Canis lupus familiaris: one gene and its partner. Each later gene encodes a partner of the first gene's protein in a complex. Links are inferred from orthologs where the notes say so. Each region holds a gene or a part of one and is shown on either strand. Other genes may lie near its edges.

The links.
Region 2: the proteins of MMP2 (region 1) and TIMP2 are in contact, whole or in part, in a crystal structure (PDB 1GXD), measured with the Homo sapiens proteins. The link is inferred for Canis lupus familiaris from reciprocal best matches to the Homo sapiens genes MMP2 and TIMP2. Residues at the interface, in NP_004521.1 of Homo sapiens: Trp574, Lys576, Asn577, Lys579, Tyr581, Phe588, Arg590, Lys595, Asp599, Phe602, Lys604, Ile606, Ala607, Asp608, Ala609, Trp610, Asn611, Ala612, Asp615, Tyr636, Leu638, Leu645, Lys646, Ser647, Val648, Lys649, Phe650, Gly651, Ser652; in NP_003246.1 of Homo sapiens: Ile162, Pro163, Cys164, Tyr165, Ile166, Pro169, Leu173, Met175, Val178, Thr179, Phe191, Arg196, Asp198, Ser200, Cys201, Ala202, Trp203, Tyr204, Arg205, Ala208, Lys211, Gln212, Glu213, Phe214, Leu215, Asp216, Glu218.

Annotation. Positions count from the first base shown.
Region 1 is NC_049223.1:59,748,124-59,751,930, reverse strand, and holds part of MMP2 (72 kDa type IV collagenase), read left to right. Parts: intron 1-1,915; coding exon 1,916-2,025; intron 2,026-3,683; coding exon 3,684-3,787; 3' UTR 3,788-3,807.
Region 2 is NC_049230.1:3,400,549-3,404,355, forward strand, and holds part of TIMP2 (metalloproteinase inhibitor 2 precursor), read left to right. Parts: intron 1-2,284; coding exon 2,285-2,385; intron 2,386-3,807. UniProt on the Homo sapiens protein: Complexes with metalloproteinases (such as collagenases) and irreversibly inactivates them by binding to their catalytic zinc cofactor. Known to act on MMP-1, MMP-2, MMP-3, MMP-7, MMP-8, MMP-9, MMP-10, MMP-13, MMP-14, MMP-15, MMP-16 and MMP-19.

The DNA of each region.
Region 1 (3,807 bases):
AGAATGAGGGAAATAGACATATGTGCATTTCGCCTTTATTTTTCACGTAGGGTAGATACTATCTTTAGCCCCATTTTCTGGGTGTAGAAACTGAGGCTGAAGTTGGCTCAAGGATACACCCGAAGAAAAGCTAGGGCGGAAGCGTCTGCGTTCTTAACACCTGCTCTACACTGCCAGTTTCCACAGCTGCGGGGAAGTACAGGGTGTCGCAGAGAAAGAAACATTTAAGACAGCCAGCAGGGAACACTGTAGGAGCCTGGGGACAGAGAGCCGAATGAAGAGCTTCGAGCCCCTGCAGAGCCAGCACCTTCTGATGTCATGATGTCGGGCCCTTCCCAGAGGAAAAGAACTTGGAACCAAATTGGTTCTCTCCCCTGAGCCTCGGTTTCCACATCTGTAAAATGAGGTGGCTTCCTGCCCTGCCCACCCTCTGTGGCTAGGCTGGATGCAAACACAGGGCACATAGCTCTGGGTCGGGGGTGGGGCTTCAGTGAAGGCCATGTGGATGATGTGGATGGAGGGCTGGGATTTTGAGCTGCAAACTTGGCTTTGGTACACCAGGTCACGAGGAAGCATGTTAGGTTTTGCAAGCAGTCTTATGATGCAGCTGGGATCAAGGAAGGCTTTTCTGGCAGTTTCTCAGAGTGACGGAGAAAGGGGGAAGCGAACCCCCCTGGAGAAGGGAACTTACAGGAGAAATTATTGTGGTGTTGGGGTGGCCGTGGGGAAGAGGATCCGCTCTGAGGCACAGCAGAAGAAAGCCTGGCTGTCACTAGAATGGCATTCAACCATGGATCTGTCTAGAAAGTTAGCTCCACAAGGGCAAGACTTTATCTTGATTTTAGTATATGCTGTTGAAGCGAGCACTATCTTGATTAATGCAATATCCACTGACAATCAGAGAGGAGGAGCTCATTAAATATTTAGGGAATAATAGGTTGAGTGTAAATAGAGAAGCAAAGGAATCAAAGTGAGCCTAGCATTTAAGAAATTCTCCCCAAATTGAAAAAGATGGAGACATTGCTAGCCAGGAAGAAGAATATGCCAGCTAATACCCCAGGTAACTACCTGGATAAAAGGCACAGCCCAGGATAACTACTCACCCTGTTAGCAGCAGTAGGGACTCCAGTGGCGGGAGGCCTGCCCCCTGACTAAGTGAGCTTCCACCCACATACCTGCACTGTTAACCTGGCCATCCCAGATGAGATCATCTCCCAGGATGTAGATTGTTACCTCCACGTGATGGATAAAGAAGCAGCAGTTTGTCCAAAGCCTCTCAGTGAAAGGTTGCTAAGGCTGGAATTTGTCCCTAGGTTCCTAGTCCAGTGCTCTTCATACCACAGCAGGGATCAGAAGTTTGTAAAGGGACTAACATTTCCCAAATATCTACTAAGTATCAGATATGGAGATAGGCACTTTGCATATATGTTCTTTCAATTCTTATATATGTCAATTAAAAACATTAACTACAACCCCATTTTATAGTTGGTAAAGTGGAGGTTTGGAAAGCAATTTACAGCCCTGGAGCCAGACAGGCCTGGGTTGGATTACTCCTTGGAAGCTGGGTGCCCTTTCTAAGCCTCTGGCCTGTAAAATTGGTATTAAGGTAATAACTGTGTCCTTGCGATTGTCACAAGGATTGACTGAGAAAGTATATGGAAAGTGGTTAATACACCGGTTACACTTTAGCAATAATCACAAGATTGCTCTTATGGGACTGTTTAAGTCACGTAATTAATAATGAGTAGTGGAGTTGGGATCCAGACCCCAGTCTGACTCCCTGGCCTTCCACTCCAGCCGGCTGCCTCCAGGCAGGGCTAGGGCTGGTTTCCCTGGGCTGGACCCTCCCATCAAGGTGGGAGGAGGGCTGGCCTCCAGGAGGTCCCACTGGTCCCTCAGATCCGCTTGCTTGCAGATACAATGAAGTCAAGAAGAAGATGGATCCTGGCTTCCCCAAGCTCATCGCAGATGCCTGGAACGCCATCCCGGATAACCTGGACGCCGTGGTGGACCTGCAAGGCAGTGGTGAGCTGCCCAGAGCCCTGTCCGCTTTCTAGGACAGGCCTCCCCACCCCCAGCCAGGGCCCAGCTCCCCACAAGCACACACTCCCTCATTGTGTAGGGAGGCAAGTGGTGCTGGGGCGGGGGCGGGGAACAAATCAGCCCCTTCAGCCCAGTACTGGGAAGGCATCCAGACCCCTGACCTCTGCGCACTCAGCCGGCTCCAGGCAGTAAGACCCAGAAAGGCCTCTCACAGCTGCAGGGCCTGGAGCCAGGGAAGGGGAGGGCAGGAGGCCTGCTGGAACAAGAAATATGGCTCTGTGCCCTGCATTCATTCTGGGGTTTGGTCCAGGCCCTTTCAGGTTCCACAGGAGGCCTTGTGACTGCCTCCCATTAGCAGAAGGATGGCTCCATTTGAGACAGGACAAACTTTGTCATGCCCTGTTGCTGATGTGGCAAAGATGTCCCACTCAACTCCATCCCTCGCTGAGTAAAATACAACCAAGTGTCAGCAAGGGATAGGATTTGGGGTTGGAAAAACATATTCTTGAGGAGGCTTCTGTGAGGTCTGCAGGGTCCTGGGAATGAGTCCAGTTTGGCTTTTCAGAGGAGGTTGCAATTAAATTCCACAAAGATTTCTATTGAGCCCCTATCATATGCGAAGCACACGGCCCAAACCTCCTGTGGCGAAAGGTCTCACATGTCCAAGAAAGAGCAAAGTATAATCCAGGGGCCTGGTTAAGGGTTCTCTTCAAGAATAAACATCTATGGAGTCCCTCTCACGTGCCGGGCTTTTAAAGGAGGCAAACAAGATCATCGATGTCAGGAGTCACACATTTTAAAGCCCATAGGGGCTGGGCCAGTAGCACCAATGAGTGAAGCAGACAAGGCAGACAGGAGGGAGGGGTGGGGTCTGTGGTGAACCAGAAGGCACATAGCTTCTTCACAATCATCTGCTTCTTGAGGCTGCTGCAAGAACGGGACCCAGTGCTGCTAGATATCCTAGCTGCTTTATTTTATTTTATTTTTCTAAGATTTTATTTATTTATTCATGAGAGCCAGAGAGAGAGGCAGAGATATAGACAGAGAGGAAAGCAGGCTCCCTGTGGGGAGCCTGATGTGGGACTCAATCCTGGGACCCCAGGATCACACCCTGAGCAGAAGGCAGACACTCAACCGCTGAGCCACCCAGGCGTCCCTATCCTAGCTGTTTTAAGAGGAAGCAAGAAATGTATATTTTCGTATGAAGTTTCCAGATGTTTATGTGTTGGCAACTTAGAATTCAGAACAAAACAAAACAAAATATGTGTGCAAGCCAAATAAAACCCCTCTGCAGGCCTGATGGAGTGAGAAGCCTCCTAGTTTGCTCCCTCTGGTCTCTGGGACTTGCTTAGTTTGTACCCATGCTCAGTGGAATGCTGTTATTTATACTCATAATAGCATATGTTATCTGATGTAGTCCTCGCCACAAGCTCTAAGAGGTCGGTATCTTAATTCCCATTCAAGATGAAAAACAGGGACTCAGGGAGTGGACTTCCCCAGCCATTCCCTTCCCTCTGGCCTCAGAGGGATCTTCTCTGGTTGAAAAGCCTGTGCCCTATGGCCGGTGGCTCTCAAAGCTCCCAGGAACCTTCCATGTCTCAGGGTGGGGTGGTGACAGCCTCCCCTCTTTCTCATCCCAGGTCATAGCTACTTCTTCAAGGGTGCGTATTACCTGAAGCTGGAGAACCAAAGTCTGAAAAGCGTGAAATTTGGAAGCATCAAATCCGACTGGCTGGGCTGCTGAGCAGGCTCTGGCTCCCCCAG
Region 2 (3,807 bases), on another chromosome or scaffold:
AGACAGGTGTACGTAACAGGGTGGGGGAGTGATGTGGAGTGTGCCGGGTGCTGCTACGGAGGACGGGATTTCCCAGAGCAAGACAGGAAAGGGGTATTTTGCCTGGGTCTTGAGGGATGCATAGAAGTTTTCCAGGCAGGGAAGGTTAGATGGCATTTGGGCCAGAAGAGACTTGTGAGTCCAGAGGTGGGGACACCCCTGGGCAGGTTCGGATTCTAAGGACTTTCCGGACTGTGGAACAGCAGGATGGGGGTGGCTGGGGCAGCGGAGATAGCTGCCGGCTGGCACCAGGTCGCACAGGGGTGTCCTTATTTTAGAGGAGGGCAGTGGGTGGCCGAGGAAGACATTTGAGCCCGGAGGGATGAGGCTATAAAAAGTCTGCTGGCGCTGGGGGTGGAGAAGGGTGGGAGCCTGAGGAGTCACTGCAAGCAGGCTGACCTGCCAGCGAGGGGAGAGCCCTCTGTCCTGGGCCCCTGGCTGGCACTGCCTAGATGTGGCTCTGCAGGTTTGGGCCGGGCTCAGCCTGGGAGGCAGGAACCTGCGGCCTCTGCCCATCGTGACTCAGCTCCAACAGAAGGAGACCTAAGAATGGGGTTTGGGCTGGGCGGGGTGGGGGTGGGGTGGCCTCTGGGGCCTGGTTGGGGCCAGGGGTGCGTGGTGGGTGCACATGGGATCCGTGTGCATGTCGTGGGGAAGACGGCCCTGGCCAGGGTGGGGGTGGGGGTCTCCAAGATATGAGCTGCCCCCGCACCCGGGGCAGAGGAGGGAGGCGCCTCTGTGCCTGGCTCCGTCTGTTCCTTATTGCTCTGTTTGGCTTGCATCCGCATTCACATAACCCTCACCCAGGGGACCCCGCACGGCTGGCCAAGCTGTGGAGGGCAAAGCTTTTAAAGCCATTAAAATGGGCCGTGCCCGCTGATATAAGCCTCGAAATGAATTAAGGGAGGGCTCTGCCCCAGTGACCGAGCCCTGCTGACTGTCACCTGGTCAGGCCATGGGCTGGGTCTGGGTCCCGCTGACCCTCACCTGGTCAGGCCGCGGGCTGGGTCCGGGTCCTGGCTTAATTGCTGGTAGGAAGGAAACCCTGTGGTGCATGGCCCATGAGCGGACGTTCCCGAACCTTCCCAGCCTGACCTCTTCCCGTCTCCTTCATCCTTGTGTCATGGTCTGGGACCGTTTTCTTTCCGTTTGGCCTCCTTCCTGGGCCTCTGTCCAGTGGGGTCTGTGAGCATTTCCTCACCCAGCTCGATGGCCTCTGGGGGGGCCGAGCACTCTGACCCTTTGCCTGTCATGCCCCTGATAGAACGTGTTATTACTATTTTTTTAAATAAATTTTATTTATTTTGAGAGACAGAGGCAGAGACACAGGCAGAGGGAGAAGCAGGCTCCATGCAGGGAGCACGACATGGGACTCCATCCCAGGTCTCCAGGATCATGCCCTGGGCTGAAGGAGGCGCTAAACCGCTGATCCACCAGGGCTGCCCAGAACGTATCATTATAAAGCATCGTCCGTGGGACATTTATCCGGGACGCCTTTAGGACAGATTAGGAGTAGTAGGATAGACCTTTCCAATATAAGACCCCCAAACCTAACTATGATGGGGCCTCTTTGGAAGGCGGTTATCCCTCTGCTTTCAGCCTGGAAAAGCCTGTTTGCAGTAGGCTGTGGATGGAGGCTGGGTGGTAGGAAGCCACCATCCTTAATTATATGATGATTGTGGCCCAGTTAATTTGCTTATCTGCTTGCCCAGCCGCAGCCTACCCGTTCGTTGGAGAGAATTTTAAAAAGCCCCAAAGCACTTAGGCGTGACATCAACAAAGAGCTTTATCAGTGACTACCCAGTAACCTCGCTACCGGTGAGACACCAGCCTTCTGCTTTGGGTCCCTGTCAACATTCTTTTTTTTTTTCCCAAAGATTTTCTTTATTTATTCATGAGAGACACAGAGAGAAAGAGAGGCAGAGACACAGGCAGAGGGAGAAGCAGGCTCCACGCAGGGAGCCTGATGTGGGACTTGATCCCGGGTCTCCAGGATCACACACTGGGCTGAAGGCAGGTGCTAAACCGCTGAGCCACCCAGGTGTCCCACCTGTCAACATTCTTGCTGAAGAATCCTGGGACTGGAAGGGGTCTCAGAGCTTCACCCCTCGCCCCTGCCCCTCGCCGTGGGTGGGGTCTGACACCGTGCAAGGGGCTGGCTTCATCGTGCCCCCACCCCCACCCCGCCCCGGAGCCAGGACAGCACTGTGGTGGCTCCACTCACCTCCCTGTCTTTGTTTTGCAGTGATTAGGGCCAAAGCGGTCAGTGTGAAGGAGGTGGACTCTGGGAATGACATCTACGGCAACCCCATCAAGCGGATTCAGTATGAGATCAAGCAGATAAAGGTACCGGGCACCACCGCCAGGTTGCTGCCTGGGCAGAGCCTCGGGAGGGCCGGGAGCAAGGTTGGGCCCCCCCCACCCCCCGAGGAGGTGTCCTGCCTTCTTGAGTAACTCGGTACAGCCATCCCTCGAGCAGACTCGAGGGCTCCAAGCCACAGGTCAATCCGATTTTCCTTAATCTGTGACTGCCTGGAAAGTTGTGTGGACCTGCCATGTTCCCGTCGACCAGGTCATTGTAGAAATGTGTCCTCTTCGTTTTGGTGGGTAGTAAATTTGTGGCAGAGTCTCAGCACGGTTACAGCGGTGGCCAGAGCTTCTGTGGAACATTCCGAGGGTGCCCGTCCTCAGCTGAGCCAGTGCGAGGTTCGAAGGCCCGAGAGCTTGGCCGTTGCATCTGGGAGCCCTCACTCCCACAAACTGTGCCGTGGGGTCTCCCTCACCTGGTCAGCCTTCGAGTCTAAGAGGAAGGAGGGGTCCCGTGGGCAGGTGTGGTGGGGGCCGGCTTCCCCGAGGAGGACATGGAGCCCACGGCCTGGCCAGTGGCGGAGGGGATCCGCCAGGTGGGAGCGGGACGGGCAGGCGTGGGGACTGAGCACTGAAGGGGAGGTGGAAGGGGAGGTCAGTTGTTTCAGAACGTTGTCCATGTTCAAGGGCGAGGAGCTCGTGTTGGAGAGGAGACGGGGTGGGAGACGAGGTTGGAAGGACAGGACCGGCCGTGGAGGAAGGCGATCTTGTTTCAGTCACTAACTCCGTCCCCAGGGGAGGAGGACGTCCTAGGCGCTGTCCCTGGAGAGACGGCTTCATAAAGGCAGGAGTTGTCGCTGTCTGTGTTTTTTTTTTTTTTCAAAGATTTTATTTATTCATGAGAGACACAGAGAGAGAGAGAGAGAAAGGCAGAGACACAGGCAGAGGGAGAAGCAGGCTCCATGCAGGGAGCCCGACGTGGGACTCGATCCCGGGACCCCGGGATCACACCCCAGGGTGAAGGCAGGCACTAAACCGCCGAGCCCCCGGGCCGCCCGCTGTCTGTGTTTAATTGTGTTACAAAAATACAAAGAAGCGGGGAACACGTGTTATCAGGAGGTCCACGAAATGCTTACTCATTGCATCCGTGTCATCCGAGGGGCGACCTGCTCTCTCGGGGCCTAAGTCCCTACGCGAGGGAGAGAGAACGTCTCTGTTCTTGCAACCTCATCGGGGCGTCCTGAAGAGGCAGGTGTTGACACCAAGAAGCATGTTTGGTCTCCGTGAAAGATGGCGAGGTCTCGGTGACGGCGCATTGTTGTCACCGTCGGCCTCACCTTCCCTGGGTGGGATGAGCCGAGCTTTTGCATCTCAGGATACTGGGATGGCCCCTTTTTATTGGGGTTTGCTTGTTGAAACTCCGCCCTCCCCCCAAACCCTGTGCTAGTCACCTTGGGGTAG